3 linked regions of the Saccharomyces cerevisiae S288C genome follow. The protein of the gene in region 1 interacts with the protein of each later gene in a biochemical or structural test. Each region holds a gene or a part of one and is shown in the gene's direction. Other genes may lie near its edges.

Region 1 (6,249 bases):
TATTTTATACTCAAGTAAATTGAAGGAAAGGAAACCATATCCTCCTAGTGGCTGCGCTGCACTACGCCGCTATGACCAATTCCGCTATGACCAGTTTACCTTTACCACACTCACTCCACGATGTTTTAAGCGTTCCTTGTCAAATATGCACCATCTCGTGATTTTTCAAAGATTGGTAAAGGAACATGAAAAAAAAAAAGCGGGGGGGTGGGGAAAATAGAGTTGATTCTGCAAAAGAGAAAGACAAAGGCCGCCCCTGGGAGCAAAGTCGTCCGATGAGGAACTAACCAGGGGCAGCATTATCCGTTAGGATCTACCGGAGAGCTGTTCCAGCGGCGGATCTGAGAAAGATTGGTTCTCCTTTTGTCGCTATATCTTGCAACTTAAATAAGCATTCTCTAAAAAATACTGGTGCTATAAGAACCCTGCTGCATACAAGTATTTCCGTTTCTACCATACTGCGGGGAAGGGACTTGAAAATAATCTCAAGATTGAAGAGGTGAAAATTGTAAAATAGTCTACTATGACCGATGTGTTGAGAAGCCTAGTGCGAAAGATTTCCTTCAATAACTCAGATAACCTTCAGCTAAAACACAAGACATCTATACAGAGTAATACTGCCCTAGAAAAGAAGAAGAGAAAGCCTGATACAATCAAAAAGGTAAGCGACGTTCAAGTTCACCATACTGTACCTAATTTCAATAACAGTTCAGAGTACATCAACGACATAGAGAATCTTATAATATCTAAACTGATAGACGGGGGAAAGGAGGGTATTGCAGTTGATCACATTGAACACGCCAATATCTCGGACAGTAAAACAGATGGAAAAGTTGCCAATAAGCACGAAAATATTAGTAGCAAGCTTAGTAAAGAGAAGGTTGAGAAAATGATTAATTTTGATTATAGGTATATTAAAACCAAGGAAAGGACTAGTATGTATAATTATTTTTTATTTTTTTTTTTTATGTTCTTGCCAGTGGAGGAATGTTTCTTTCGTCACAACCGGAGTGAATAGTGGAACTACTGTCAGTTCATAGTATCGCGACACAAAAAAAAATAATTAAAAGAAAAAAAAAGAGAGTGTAAAATAAAGATTTATGAAATTGCATCCCTAATCTTAGAAACTTGCTTACGAAATATCAGGAAGCATAGCGGAACATTTTTCCATATTACATCAACTACCATTTTTTATGGGAATCACATTATATACTAACATAGGTTTAGTTCATAAACGGGTTTATAAACATGACCGCAAAACTGATGTCGACCGAAAAAATCATGGAGGAACTATCGACATCAGTTATCCTACGACAGAAGTGGTTGGCCATGGTTCATTTGGTGTTGTAGTCACGACTGTAATAATTGAGACCAATCAAAAAGTTGCCATAAAGAAAGTACTACAAGATAGAAGATATAAAAATAGGGAGCTCGAAACTATGAAGATGTTGTGCCATCCAAATACTGTGGGTCTACAGTACTACTTTTACGAAAAGGACGAAGAAGATGAAGTATACCTCAATCTGGTTTTGGACTACATGCCTCAGTCGTTATACCAAAGGCTTCGTCATTTTGTTAATTTGAAAATGCAGATGCCGCGTGTTGAAATTAAATTCTATGCATACCAACTATTCAAAGCTTTAAACTATTTGCATAACGTTCCTCGAATCTGTCACAGAGATATAAAACCGCAAAACCTACTGGTGGATCCGACAACTTTTTCTTTCAAGATTTGCGATTTTGGCAGTGCCAAATGCTTGAAACCGGATCAGCCTAATGTGTCTTACATCTGTTCAAGGTACTATAGGGCTCCCGAACTCATGTTTGGTGCCACTAATTACTCAAACCAGGTCGACGTGTGGTCAAGCGCTTGTGTCATTGCTGAGTTGCTTTTGGGCAAGCCCTTGTTCTCTGGTGAAAGCGGTATAGATCAGTTGGTGGAAATTATTAAGATAATGGGCATACCCACAAAGGATGAAATTTCAGGAATGAACCCAAATTATGAAGACCATGTTTTCCCCAATATCAAGCCCATTACTTTGGCTGAAATATTCAAAGCCGAAGATCCCGATACTCTTGACTTGTTAACAAAAACTCTGAAGTATCACCCTTGCGAAAGATTGGTACCTCTACAATGTCTATTATCAAGCTATTTTGACGAAACCAAACGTTGTGATACCGACACTTACGTAAAAGCACAAAACCTGCGTATATTTGACTTCGACGTGGAAACTGAGTTGGGCCATGTTCCACTTGTGGAACGGCCCGCCATTGAAGAACGGTTGAAACATTTTGTTTCTGCACCTTCATCGTCTTTGTGATATATCTCATCCTTCAAATTTCTTAGTCTATTGTATCATTACTATTACATAATATGCATTTGTCTTCTGCACACAGATACACAGCGTATGCAGTTAACCTAACGTATAACGACCGTCCTCTTTCCTTCATTTAATTTCACTTGCTGCTTTTCTAGGCAGCGGTCGCCCAAATTTTCACCGGCCACAAGCGTATGACTGCATATGCAGAACCTTGGCAACTGTAAGAACTCCTATGTTTCTTTATTGCAAACAGTTGCTAAAAGCACTCACATAGAAGAAAAATTGATGAAACTTGCGATGCATTGAACAAATTTCCCTTTCTTCATACTTTACGGCATAGTAATCTTTGAACCTTTTGGTAAGCACCAAATTCGTAATTCATTATCGATATTGTGTAGAAAAGAGTAAAATATAATAAAACGAAAAAAAAAAGGTTTGAAAGAACATAACTACTAAAACGCACCGTCGTCATTCTGAAGATGAATTCTAGCTATACACAGAGATATGCACTGCCGAAGTGTATAGCAATATCAGATTATCTTTTCCATCGGCTCAACCAGCTGAACATACATACCATATTTGGACTCTCCGGAGAATTTAGCATGCCGTTGCTGGATAAACTATACAACATTCCGAACTTACGATGGGCCGGTAATTCTAATGAGTTAAATGCTGCCTACGCAGCAGATGGATACTCACGACTAAAAGGCTTGGGATGTCTCATAACAACCTTTGGTGTAGGCGAATTATCGGCAATCAATGGCGTGGCCGGATCTTACGCTGAACATGTAGGAATACTTCACATAGTGGGTATGCCGCCAACAAGTGCACAAACGAAACAACTACTACTGCATCATACTCTGGGCAATGGTGATTTCACGGTATTTCATAGAATAGCCAGTGATGTAGCATGCTATACAACATTGATTATTGACTCTGAATTATGTGCCGACGAAGTCGATAAGTGCATCAAAAAGGCTTGGATAGAACAGAGGCCAGTATACATGGGCATGCCTGTCAACCAGGTAAATCTCCCGATTGAATCAGCAAGGCTTAATACACCTCTGGATTTACAATTGCATAAAAACGACCCAGACGTAGAGAAAGAAGTTATTTCTCGAATATTGAGTTTTATATACAAAAGCCAGAATCCGGCAATCATCGTAGATGCATGTACTAGTCGACAGAATTTAATCGAGGAGACTAAAGAGCTTTGTAATAGGCTTAAATTTCCAGTTTTTGTTACACCTATGGGTAAGGGTACAGTAAACGAAACAGACCCGCAATTTGGGGGCGTATTCACGGGCTCGATATCAGCCCCAGAAGTAAGAGAAGTAGTTGATTTTGCCGATTTTATCATCGTCATTGGTTGCATGCTCTCCGAATTCAGCACGTCAACTTTCCACTTCCAATATAAAACTAAGAATTGTGCGCTACTATATTCTACATCTGTGAAATTGAAAAATGCCACATATCCTGACTTGAGCATTAAATTACTACTACAGAAAATATTAGCAAATCTTGATGAATCTAAACTGTCTTACCAACCAAGCGAACAACCCAGTATGATGGTTCCAAGACCTTACCCAGCAGGAAATGTCCTCTTGAGACAAGAATGGGTCTGGAATGAAATATCCCATTGGTTCCAACCAGGTGACATAATCATAACAGAAACTGGTGCTTCTGCATTTGGAGTTAACCAGACCAGATTTCCGGTAAATACACTAGGTATTTCGCAAGCTCTTTGGGGATCTGTCGGATATACAATGGGGGCGTGTCTTGGGGCAGAATTTGCTGTTCAAGAGATAAACAAGGATAAATTCCCCGCAACTAAACATAGAGTTATTCTGTTTATGGGTGACGGTGCTTTCCAATTGACAGTTCAAGAATTATCCACAATTGTTAAGTGGGGATTGACACCTTATATTTTTGTGATGAATAACCAAGGTTACTCTGTGGACAGGTTTTTGCATCACAGGTCAGATGCTAGTTATTACGATATCCAACCTTGGAACTACTTGGGATTATTGCGAGTATTTGGTTGCACGAACTACGAAACGAAAAAAATTATTACTGTTGGAGAATTCAGATCCATGATCAGTGACCCAAACTTTGCGACCAATGACAAAATTCGGATGATAGAGATTATGCTACCACCAAGGGATGTTCCACAGGCTCTGCTTGACAGGTGGGTGGTAGAAAAAGAACAGAGCAAACAAGTGCAAGAGGAGAACGAAAATTCTAGCGCAGTAAATACGCCAACTCCAGAATTCCAACCACTTCTAAAAAAAAATCAAGTTGGATACTGATCTGATCTCTCCGCCCTACTACCAGGGACCCTCATGATTACCGCTCGAATGCGACGTTTCCTGCCTCATAAAACTGGCTTGAAAATATTTATTCGCTGAACAGTAGCCTAGCTTATAAAAATTTCATTTAATTAATGTAATATGAAAACTCACATGCCTTCTGTTTCTAAAATTGTCACAGCAAGAAATAACATTACCATACGTGATCTTATTAAACTCTAGTATCTTGTCTAATACTTCATTTAAAAGAAGCCTTAACCCTGTAGCCTCATCTATGTCTGCTACATATCGTGAGGTACGAATATCGTAAGATGATACCACGCAACTTTGTAATGATTTTTTTTTTTTCATTTTTTAAAGAATGCCTTTACATGGTATTTGAAAAAAATATCTTTATAAAGTTTGCGATCTCTTCTGTTCTGAATAATTTTTAGTAAAAGAAATCAAAAGAATAAAGAAATAGTCCGCTTTGTCCAATACAACAGCTTAAACCGATTATCTCTAAAATAACAAGAAGAAATGTCTACTGAATCCGCTTTGTCTTACGCCGCCTTGATTTTGGCTGACTCTGAAATCGAAATCTCTTCTGAAAAGTTGTTGACTTTGACTAACGCTGCCAATGTCCCAGTTGAAAATATCTGGGCTGATATTTTTGCTAAGGCTTTGGACGGCCAAAACTTGAAGGACTTATTGGTCAACTTCAGCGCTGGTGCTGCTGCCCCAGCTGGTGTCGCTGGTGGTGTCGCTGGTGGTGAAGCCGGTGAAGCCGAAGCTGAAAAGGAAGAAGAAGAAGCTAAAGAAGAATCCGATGACGACATGGGTTTCGGTTTATTTGATTAGAAGTGCCGCACTGTTTAGAAGAAATTGCATATTCTAACATTTAAAATTTTTTATAATTTTTCTATATAGTCGCTTTTAATACAATAAGACAGTACTTTCTTTTTGTTCAATACCATCTTTCGCATCTCTTCTATGCTATATATAATGCCACGTTGTGCTCGAAGGAAAAGCCTGCAAACCTGACTACTACTAATACAATAATGTTCCATCATATCAAGAAAACTGCGCTAACTTGTAAAAATACTGTCAACCATATTCTCACCCAGACTATAAAGTTAAGGAAATGATAAATTATAAGTGATGGCTTCCCGTTTATACATTGTACATATATATTATTTATGAAATTGAACAGATAAAAAAGAAGGAAAATACAAAAATTGTGGATGAAAAATTCTTTGATGAAGTTTTTAGATCTATTTCTTCTTTTCAGCTTCAGCTTCAGCCTTTTCTCTAGCTCTCTTTTCTCTGATACCTCTGAATTTCTTCTCAGATCTGGCTAATCTCAAGGTTCTGAAAGCAGATTCACCATTGTCTTGGACAGCTCTAGCTTCAACATCGGTAGCTGGTTGAGCAATTGGGAAAGTAGCAGCAGCAGACAAAACTTGTTCAGCTTCTGGGGCCTTACCATTTCTTGGGAAAACAATAATCTTAGATTGGTATTCCTTTAATCTTTGAACGTTAGCATCAAAGATTTCTTGGTTTCTGTTTTGACGTCTGTGGTCAACGGCGATACCGATAGTTCTGGCATAAGCAGCAGTCAAACCAGCGGCCTTAACTTC
Region 2 (5,158 bases), 300 kb from region 1:
ATGCGCCGTTATTGACGATGCGAGTTTTCTAACAAATTATGAATATGCTGCTGCGTATTCCAAATGTAATAATATTCCACTGTTTTGGTCCTCCATACCATTCTTCGGATCAAGATCAATCCACCAATTTTTTAGTACCTCAGGATACTGTTTCTTTGTCCTTTTAAGACATTCTTTGAAAACATCAACGATGCCGTTCGTTGTTATGTACGGCAAATGTAGCTTTTCCTGAACATGACTTAATTGCACAGTGCCTGTATAACATTGTAGCTTCATTAGAACTGATATACGTTTTTCAGCATATTCAAAAAGATTTTTTAGAGGAAGCAAATCAAATGTCTCACTTGTTTTATCTTTTAATCCGATCAAACCCTGGCTGACTAGACGATTAACCAGGTCTCGAAACGCTTCCTTTTCCAAAGAGTCAAAAGATTTCATGACGCCAACATTTTGTTGTTGAAACAAAAACGATGCTAAGCTAGTTACTACGCTGCGTACTTCCTTTAGTTTGTAAAGGTCAGAATTAGAAATCTCTTTCATTTGTAGTCCTAATAGGATCAACATCAAGTTTGACTTTGCTGATGTCCTATTGGGAATCATCACAGGTAGATTAGCGCTTTGATATTCTAGTTTTTTTAACTGTTCGTCATTGCCGTTGTCAATTTGATCACCTGAATTCAAAAAGTGAGTTTCAGGAAAATCCTTTAGCGACGATACAAACCGAAATGACAAGGAATGCACACTATTCGAAGTATCTGTGCTATTGTATGGACTAATAATTTCTAATTCATCCTTCAAGCGTTCTTCTTGCAGTTGCTCGATGAAAGTAGTTTCATTTCTTTTACTTTCTGGGGTTTTGTACCCTATACCTACAAAATCCGGGTTTACTACCTCAATCTGTGATGTCTCAGGTGTCCACTCTTGCTCTTGCGTGAACAATTCTCCAATTACAAAATCGCTTAAGGACCAAGGCGTGTCAAGTTGCTCACGCATGTTCATTGTGATTTTCCAATGATCTATTTCTTCCGTTAAACTGTAGCATAATCTTAAATATTCAACTTGAAGCTCTTGATAGTTCAAACTTGCTTGCCCGTAGACATGAAGAGTTAAGCCTATCAAATCGGTTATGTTCAACCCCCATGATAGGATGCTATCCTTCTTAACTTTACATGTTAAGAATCTCATGTCACTAGTATAACCCACCAATGAAGAGTCTGAAGTACAATCGTCCAACTGAAAAAAAATGTATTCTTGTTTCCCAATCCATTTGAACTGGAGTCCAATGATGCAGCCAATAAGGTGTATTTGCTGTAAAGGATGATTTTTCCAGAACAACATCGACAACCGCCTATCATAATACTTTTCGCAAATTTGCAAAGAAACTCTCATCCGGTACTTTAAATCTCCAACAAATATTCGAACGTCCTCTGTCCCACTATAATAACTGTTGTATTTGAACAGCCTTGGAATATAATAACAAACATCGCCTTCTTGATGAGCTATATGTCCGTACTTATCCATGGCTCCAACCCATTATTAAAAGCCAGCTTATTGCTCTTTTTTCGCACAGAAATGGAATATCAACAAGCAGGATTTCATATATTCCAATGCTTACTTCTTTTTCCATGCCTTTACATACTTCTTTTTGGTGTGATTCGTGGTTTTGTTGTTAGAATAGCTGCTGCATATTTCCGTTCTGAGTGACTTTGCCCATCGAAGTCAATTACTTGAAAGTAAGAAATTATCAAAACCAATAGCTGCTTAAAAATCAGTTGCAAGATTTGAATGAAATCAGCAAAGTTTGATCAATCGTGACTAGTTCGCGTTTTGAATTTTGTGGTAACACCAAGCAGTAAAGAGACAGCTTTATTATAACCAGCATGCTTTCCATTCAGCAAAGATATAATATTTGTCTAATGGCGGAGAGGCACCCAAAGTGGACGCAACTTGAATTGGCAAAATGGGCTTATGAGACGTTCCAGCTGCCAAAAATTCCATCCCAAGGCACAATATCGCGTTTGTTGGCAAGGAAATCAACTTATATGAATTGTAAAGAGCATGAAAAAGATGCGAATAGATTAAGGAAGCCAAATAATCTTTTGGTTCGGAAAATTTTACAAGAATGGATTTCTCAAAGTTTGTGGAATGGAATCCCTATAACGTCACCTATTATTCAAGACACTGCACAAGCTGTTTGGCACAGAATTCCTGCGGAGCATCGCGAGGGAAATGGTTCTTTTAGTTATAAATGGATTTCGAATTTTTTATCAAAAATGGATGTCAATATTTCTGTTTTAGACGAAGAGTTACCCAAAACCCCAAAAGTCTGGACATTTGAAGAGAGGGATGTATTGAAGGCTTATTTCTCCAAAATTCCTCCAAAGGATTTATTCACTTTAGATGAAGCGTTTCTCTCCTACAACCTACCGTTGGATTATGCTCAATATGAAGCAAGTAGCATTCAAAGGCGTATAGAGGTGGCAACTGTCATGCTGTGCTCCAATTTAGATGGCTCTGAAAAGTTAAAACCTGTTGTCGTGGGCAAATATGATAGTTACAAATCATTCAGGAATTATTTCCCCAATGAACCGAATGATCCTGTGTCACAATCAATGTTGGGTACTAAGATGGCTAAGAAATTTGATATCTCATACCATAGTAACAGGAAAGCATGGCTAACGAGCAATCTTTTCCACAACTGGTTAGTCAGGTGGGATAAGAGGTTGGTTGCTGTGAATAGGAAGATTTGGATTGTTTTGGATGATTCTTGCTGTCATCGAATAATTAATTTGCGCCTTCAAAATATAAAACTTGTATACACTTCCTCAAATTCAAAGTTTTTGCCATTTAACTGGGGTGTCTGGGATGAATTCAAAACACGATACAGAATACAACAGTATCAGGCGCTCATTGACTTGCAAAATAGAATTTCGAAGAATATCCAAAATAAAAATAAATCAGAACGGAACGAATGCATACCCAATGGTAAAAAATGTTTGATTAGCTTTGAGCAGAGTCAACTCACAATGTCAAATGCATTCAAATTTATTAAAAAAGCTTGGGATGATATACCCGTTGATGCTATCAAAGCAAATTGGAAAAGTTCCGGTCTGCTTCCTCCTGAAATGATACATTTGAATGAGAATGTTAGTATGGCATTTAAGAAAAACGAAGTCTTAGAGAGCGTTTTGAATAGATTATGTGATGAATACTACTGTGTTAAAAAATGGGAATATGAAATGTTGTTAGATTTAAACATTGAAAACAAAAACACAAACTTCTTGAGTACAGAAGAATTAGTGGAAAGTGCTATTGTGGAGCCTTGTGAACCTGATTTTGATACTGCGCCAAAAGGTAATGAGGTCCATGATGATAATTTTGATGTATCAGTTTTTGCCAATGAAGATGATAATAATCAAAATCATTTAAGCATGTCACAAGCTAGCCACAACCCCGATTACAACAGTAATCACAGCAACAATGCTATTGAAAATACTAATAATAGAGGCAGTAATAATAATAACAATAATAATGGTAGTAGTAATAATATTAATGATAATGATAGTAGCGTAAAGTATTTGCAACAGAATACTGTTGATAATAGTACCAAAACAGGTAACCCTGGACAACCAAATATTTCTAGTATGGAATCGCAAAGGAACTCTTCGACTACAGATTTAGTTGTTGACGGTAATTATGACGTCAATTTTAACGGCCTTTTGAATGATCCATATAATACAATGAAACAGCCGGGCCCATTAGATTATAATGTCAGTACATTAATCGATAAACCTAATTTATTCTTAAGTCCTGATTTGGATTTATCTACTGTTGGCGTTGATATGCAACTACCATCATCAGAATATTTTAGCGAAGTATTTTCTTCAGCTATCAGAAACAACGAAAAAGCTGCCTCAGATCAGAACAAATCAACTGATGAACTTCCTTCAAGCACGGCCATGGCAAATTCAAACTCGATAACGACTGCCCTTCTAGAGTCAAGAAATCAAGCACAGCCGTTTGATGTCCCACATATGAATGGGTTGCTGAGCGACACATCAAAAAGCGGACATTCTGTTAATTCCTCAAATGCTATATCTCAAAATTCTCTGAATAACTTTCAACATAATTCGGCGTCCGTCGCGGAAGCTTCGTCTCCTTCAATTACACCATCTCCTGTGGCAATAAACTCAACAGGCGCTCCAGCGAGATCTATTATATCTGCACCCATAGACTCAAATTCCTCTGCGTCATCGCCATCAGCTTTAGAACATCTTGAAGGTGCTGTTTCCGGTATGTCACCCTCTTCCACCACAATATTAAGTAACTTACAAACAAATATAAATATCGCCAAATCATTGAGTACCATTATGAAACATGCAGAATCAAACGAAATATCACTGACGAAAGAAACAATAAATGAACTTAATTTCAATTATTTGACACTTTTAAAAAGGATTAAAAAGACTAGAAAACAATTAAATAGCGAAAGCATTAAAATAAACAGTAAGAATGCACAAGACCATTTAGAAACCCTTCTATCTGGGGCTGCAGCTGCAGCTGCAACTTCCGCCAATAACTTGGACCTTCCGACTGGTGGTTCAAACCTCCCAGACTCTAATAACTTACACTTACCTGGTAACACAGGCTTTTTTTAGATATAAACTTAATAAGATCTCGATATTCATTGCTCTTTTTTGTAGTTTTGCCTTTAACTCTCGGTTTTTTGAATTTATCATTTTCCTGATGACCTTTGACTGCTCTTTGATCTATCCTGAACACAAGAAAACGAAAAGAATAAATAAAAGTAGAGATATTTATTATTTAGCCTGTACCGATCACTGGAAACTGGATTCTATTAATTTTACTTATTCAAACCAAGATATCTTTTTCTTTTTTTTCTTTTTTTTTTTTTTTTTCAGCAGTACATTCCTGAAGTGTACACTTGCCTTGTGTATTAAATGATGATTCGATATTATAAAACACCATTTAAGTCGTCATTAATTTCAATATCGCTTTCGTCTACTTGAAACAATTTACCTTGACTTCTTATTTTCAGGAATTCATTGGCAAATTTTTTCGTTTCATCATTAATGATAACCAAAATATTATCTCTAACTTCCAAGCTTAATGAATTTTCTTGAACGATATGTTTAAT
Region 3 (3,777 bases), on another chromosome or scaffold:
GCGGACTGTTTGGGTCGTACTACGCCGGTAACTGGGCCAACCGATACGGAAGAAAGTACGTGAGCATGGGCGCCTCGGCCATGTGCATGGTTTCTTCTCTGCTGCTTTTCTTTTCCAACTCCTACTTGCAGTTGCTATTTGGCAGGTTCCTGGTAGGCATGTCCTGCGGCACCGCCATTGTGATCACACCCTTATTTATCAACGAGATTGCCCCCGTGGAGTGGAGAGGCGCTATGGGATCTATGAATCAGGTTTCTATCAATCTAGGTATCCTGCTGACCCAAACCTTGGCACTCAAGTACGCAGACTCCTATAACTGGAGGTGGCTTCTCTTTTCCGGATCCGTGATTGCGGTAGCGAATATTTTAGCTTGGCTCAAAGTGGACGAATCTCCAAGGTGGCTGGTGAGCCACGGATTCGTCTCGGAAGCTGAAACTGCTCTGTTCAAGTTGCGTCCAGGAACGTACCAACAAGCGAAGCAAGAAATTCAGGATTGGCAGCGTAGCCATGGGCACAACCGCGACCCGGAGTCAAGCGAAGAGACTCATTCAGGACCCACACTATGGCAATATGTTACCGATCCCTCATACAAGAAACCGCGCACAGTTATACTCGCCATCTTGTCGTGCCAGCAATTTTGCGGCATCAACTCTATTATCTTCTACGGTGTAAAAGTGATCGGCAAGATTCTACCGGACTACTCGATTCAGGTAAATTTTGCCATTTCCATCCTCAATGTCGTTGTCACTCTAGCAGCATCTGCGATCATCGACCACGTCGGGCGCCGTCCATTATTGCTTGCCTCGACTACGGTGATGACCGCCATGTCGCTGCTGATCAGTGTAGGTCTCACCTTGAGCGTATCCTTTTTACTGGTCACGGCCACTTTTGTCTATATTGCCGCATTCGCCATCGGTCTGGGACCCATCCCCTTCTTGATCATTGGTGAGCTATCCTACCCGCAGGATGCCGCTACAGCTCAAAGTTTTGGTACTGTGTGCAACTGGCTTGCCACCTTCATCGTCGGATACCTCTTCCCGATAGGCCACGGCCTCATGGGCGGCTACGTATTTGCGATCTTCGCCGCCATCGCTGCCATGTTTGCTACATATGTGTACAAGCGTGTACCCGAGACAAAGGGCAAGACTACATACAGCGAGGTTTGGGCTGGCTACTGATCTGTAGCCAGTCATATATACCTAAGCAACTATTTTTTACTTCTTTCTAGCTATTCATCTGTTTTTTATTTTCTTCTTCTTCTAGTAACGAACGGCTACATGAGTATATGCACTCATTTAGTTAGTATCTATGTATATGTACGGAACTAGGCAAACCAAATGGATTGCTGTTGTATGAGATCCGTGTGGCGGAAACCATGACTACCGCTTGTACTGCCGGGGCCAAAATAGCACACGCGCGTCATGAGTCGCTCACGGGCGAGCGTCTATCTGCATATTTTCCTGAGCCCAATATTCGGTTCTGCGTCTTAGCGGCATAAATGCATCCGGCAGGACTGCCGAGAAAAGGAATATACAATGGCAGCCCTCTTGGCGCATTTGATGTATGCGGATTTCCAACCAATCTGCGAATGCATCCGTGCCAAAATGAAACGGCATTTAGCTTGAAAGAGTCGGAATTCCTGCATCAGATGGGTACCATTTTACCACAGTCTTTTGACTCACGCAGAGTACTCGCGTGCAATTGCTTGCAGGTATAATATATACATATATATATATATATATATATATATATATATATATGTACAATTTGTATGACAAGTGGGTGCACCTTTCTCGGTCGGAATTATATGGGGAACTAATACTACGGGTTAGAGCTATAACAATTTCTGCACACTTTAAAAGCGTTTTCATTTCATTTCACCACGTATATATATAGCCTATATATATATCCGCACTAGAACCAAATGGTCAATAGTAAGAGGCAGCAGAGAAGCAAGAAAGTAGCGTCATCCTCCAAAGTGCCCCCCACCAAGGGGAGGACATTTACTGGGTGCTGGGCATGCAGATTCAAGAAACGCAGATGCGACGAGAATAGACCAATCTGTTCACTGTGTGCCAAACATGGAGATAATTGTAGTTACGATATCAGACTTATGTGGTTAGAGGAGAACATCTACAAAGTACGCAAGCATTCACTGATCAGTTCATTACAGGCTCGCAAATCGAAATCGAAACCATTGTGCCAGAAAATCTCAAAATCAAGGTTTAAACAAATGACCCATTTTAGACAACTATCACCCCCGACAAGTGACTGCGAAGACAGCGTGCACGAGGCAAGTAAGGAAACTACGCTTCCTAACGATAATACATTCACCATAAGCGTACGGAGATTGAAGATATACAATAACGCTGTGGCCTCTGTCTTTGGTAGCATGACAAATAGAGATTATACTCAAAAGCGCATAGACAAGAAGTTGGACGAATTGCTTAATATGGTGGAAAACGACATATCTGTGGTCAACCTCAATTGCTCCAAACACGGGCCTTACTCAGTTTTCAGGGCCAATCCGGCTGCAGTTACCTCTGCTCTTACAGATCAGCTGCCGTCGCCGGGTCATTCGATGTCGTCAGCAGAGGAAACCACTACTGCAGCGCTGTCATCGCCGCCAGAAGACAGCACCTCTTTGATCGATATTATCCAAGGCAAAATTTTCGGGATCCTATGGTTTAATTGCTACGGGAACATGATATTGAACCGACAAGAATACACGACGTGGTTCATCAATAAGATGAGGAACTCGTTGACCACGGAATTCATACGCTTCCTTGGGAAAATAATTGACGACCCGGACATCAATATGGCCTCGTGCCTGTTCAAAGAGTGCATCGCTCGTTGGAGTTGTGTCGATTGGCAATCCATAGCTATAACAATGCTGGTCATCATTCATGGATATACCTGCCCCAACTTGACAAAGCTTCTAAGAGTGTGGTTTCTCCAGCAAAAGCTATTGAGATTTTCGATGTATCCGCTGGTCAACTTTATCATAAACAATACACAAGATTTAGACGTCCTGTACCATTGTAATGGATTGCTAGGGAATGCCGACTTATTCGAGGATCCCTACCAGGACGAGCTTACGTCGGAGTTACATGTCTTGGTCACGGAGCGCCTAGTGAATAGTTGGAAAGATACAATATTGCAACAACTTTGCTCATGTCAAGATACCACACTTTCATGTTCCCAACTGCGGTACTGGCAGCTACAACTGAAGTGTAATCAACAATTTTACAAGGATGTATATGCCATGCAGGACTAGGCTTATTGAGCCTTCCCTTCACTCATTTCAAGAAAAAAAAAGCCAAAAGCTTTGCTTGGATATTATACCCATTTTTAACGACATATTTTTTCCCACTACTTTAGATAGAAATTCATGATATTTTGTTTTATATTATATATGTATATATATATATGCACGAAAAAAAATTAAAGTTTATCACTGGGAGATAGGGTTTCCTATCTGCCAGGGTGAAACGTTTATTTTACTGATTTCTTTGTCTTTACTGACATTTATCGGATATCTATCTATCATTCTGAGCCTATGCTTTTTGTTAGCCGTAGACTAAAAAAAAAAAAAAATTGAAGGAAAAGAAATGAAAAAAGCAAATGAGTTGCAATTTTAGTATATTGTAAAAGAGTAACCACATAAAAAAACTAAACAAGAGCCGGTGCAACGGCATTACTCTCTTAGATAAAATTGCTAGTTATATAAAGTCAGGATACTCTTGAGCTATTTTTATCATTTCTTTTGGGTACAAC

The links. Proteins that work in one complex are often made in the same cells at the same time.
Region 2: the proteins of THI3 (region 1) and PDC2 form a complex in vitro, tested with the Saccharomyces cerevisiae proteins (one study listed by BioGRID).
Region 3: the proteins of THI3 (region 1) and THI2 form a complex in vitro, tested with the Saccharomyces cerevisiae proteins (one study listed by BioGRID).

Annotation. Positions count from the first base shown.
Region 1 is NC_001136.10:309,023-315,271, reverse strand, and holds THI3 (branched-chain-2-oxoacid decarboxylase THI3), read left to right. Parts: upstream 1-2,800; coding exon 2,801-4,630; downstream 4,631-6,249. Other genes in the region: putative serine/threonine protein kinase MRK1, read left to right, coding at 524-935, 1,228-2,321; ribosomal protein P1 RPP1A, read left to right, coding at 5,150-5,470; 60S ribosomal protein eL13 RPL13A, read right to left, coding at 5,884-6,249. UniProt on the Saccharomyces cerevisiae protein: One of five 2-oxo acid decarboxylases (PDC1, PDC5, PDC6, ARO10, and THI3) involved in amino acid catabolism.
Region 2 is NC_001136.10:606,804-611,961, reverse strand, and holds PDC2 (Pdc2p), read left to right. Parts: upstream 1-1,880; coding exon 1,881-4,658; downstream 4,659-5,158. Other genes in the region: STN1 (Stn1p), read right to left, coding at 37-1,521; VPS41 (Vps41p), read right to left, coding at 4,976-5,158. UniProt on the Saccharomyces cerevisiae protein: Essential for the synthesis of pyruvate decarboxylase. May be important for a high basal level of PDC gene expression or play a positive role in the autoregulation control of PDC1 and PDC5.
Region 3 is NC_001134.8:699,990-703,766, reverse strand, and holds THI2 (Thi2p), read left to right. Parts: upstream 1-1,924; coding exon 1,925-3,277; downstream 3,278-3,777. Other genes in the region: VVS1 (Vvs1p), read left to right, coding at 1-1,178. UniProt on the Saccharomyces cerevisiae protein: Positive regulator of thiamine biosynthesis.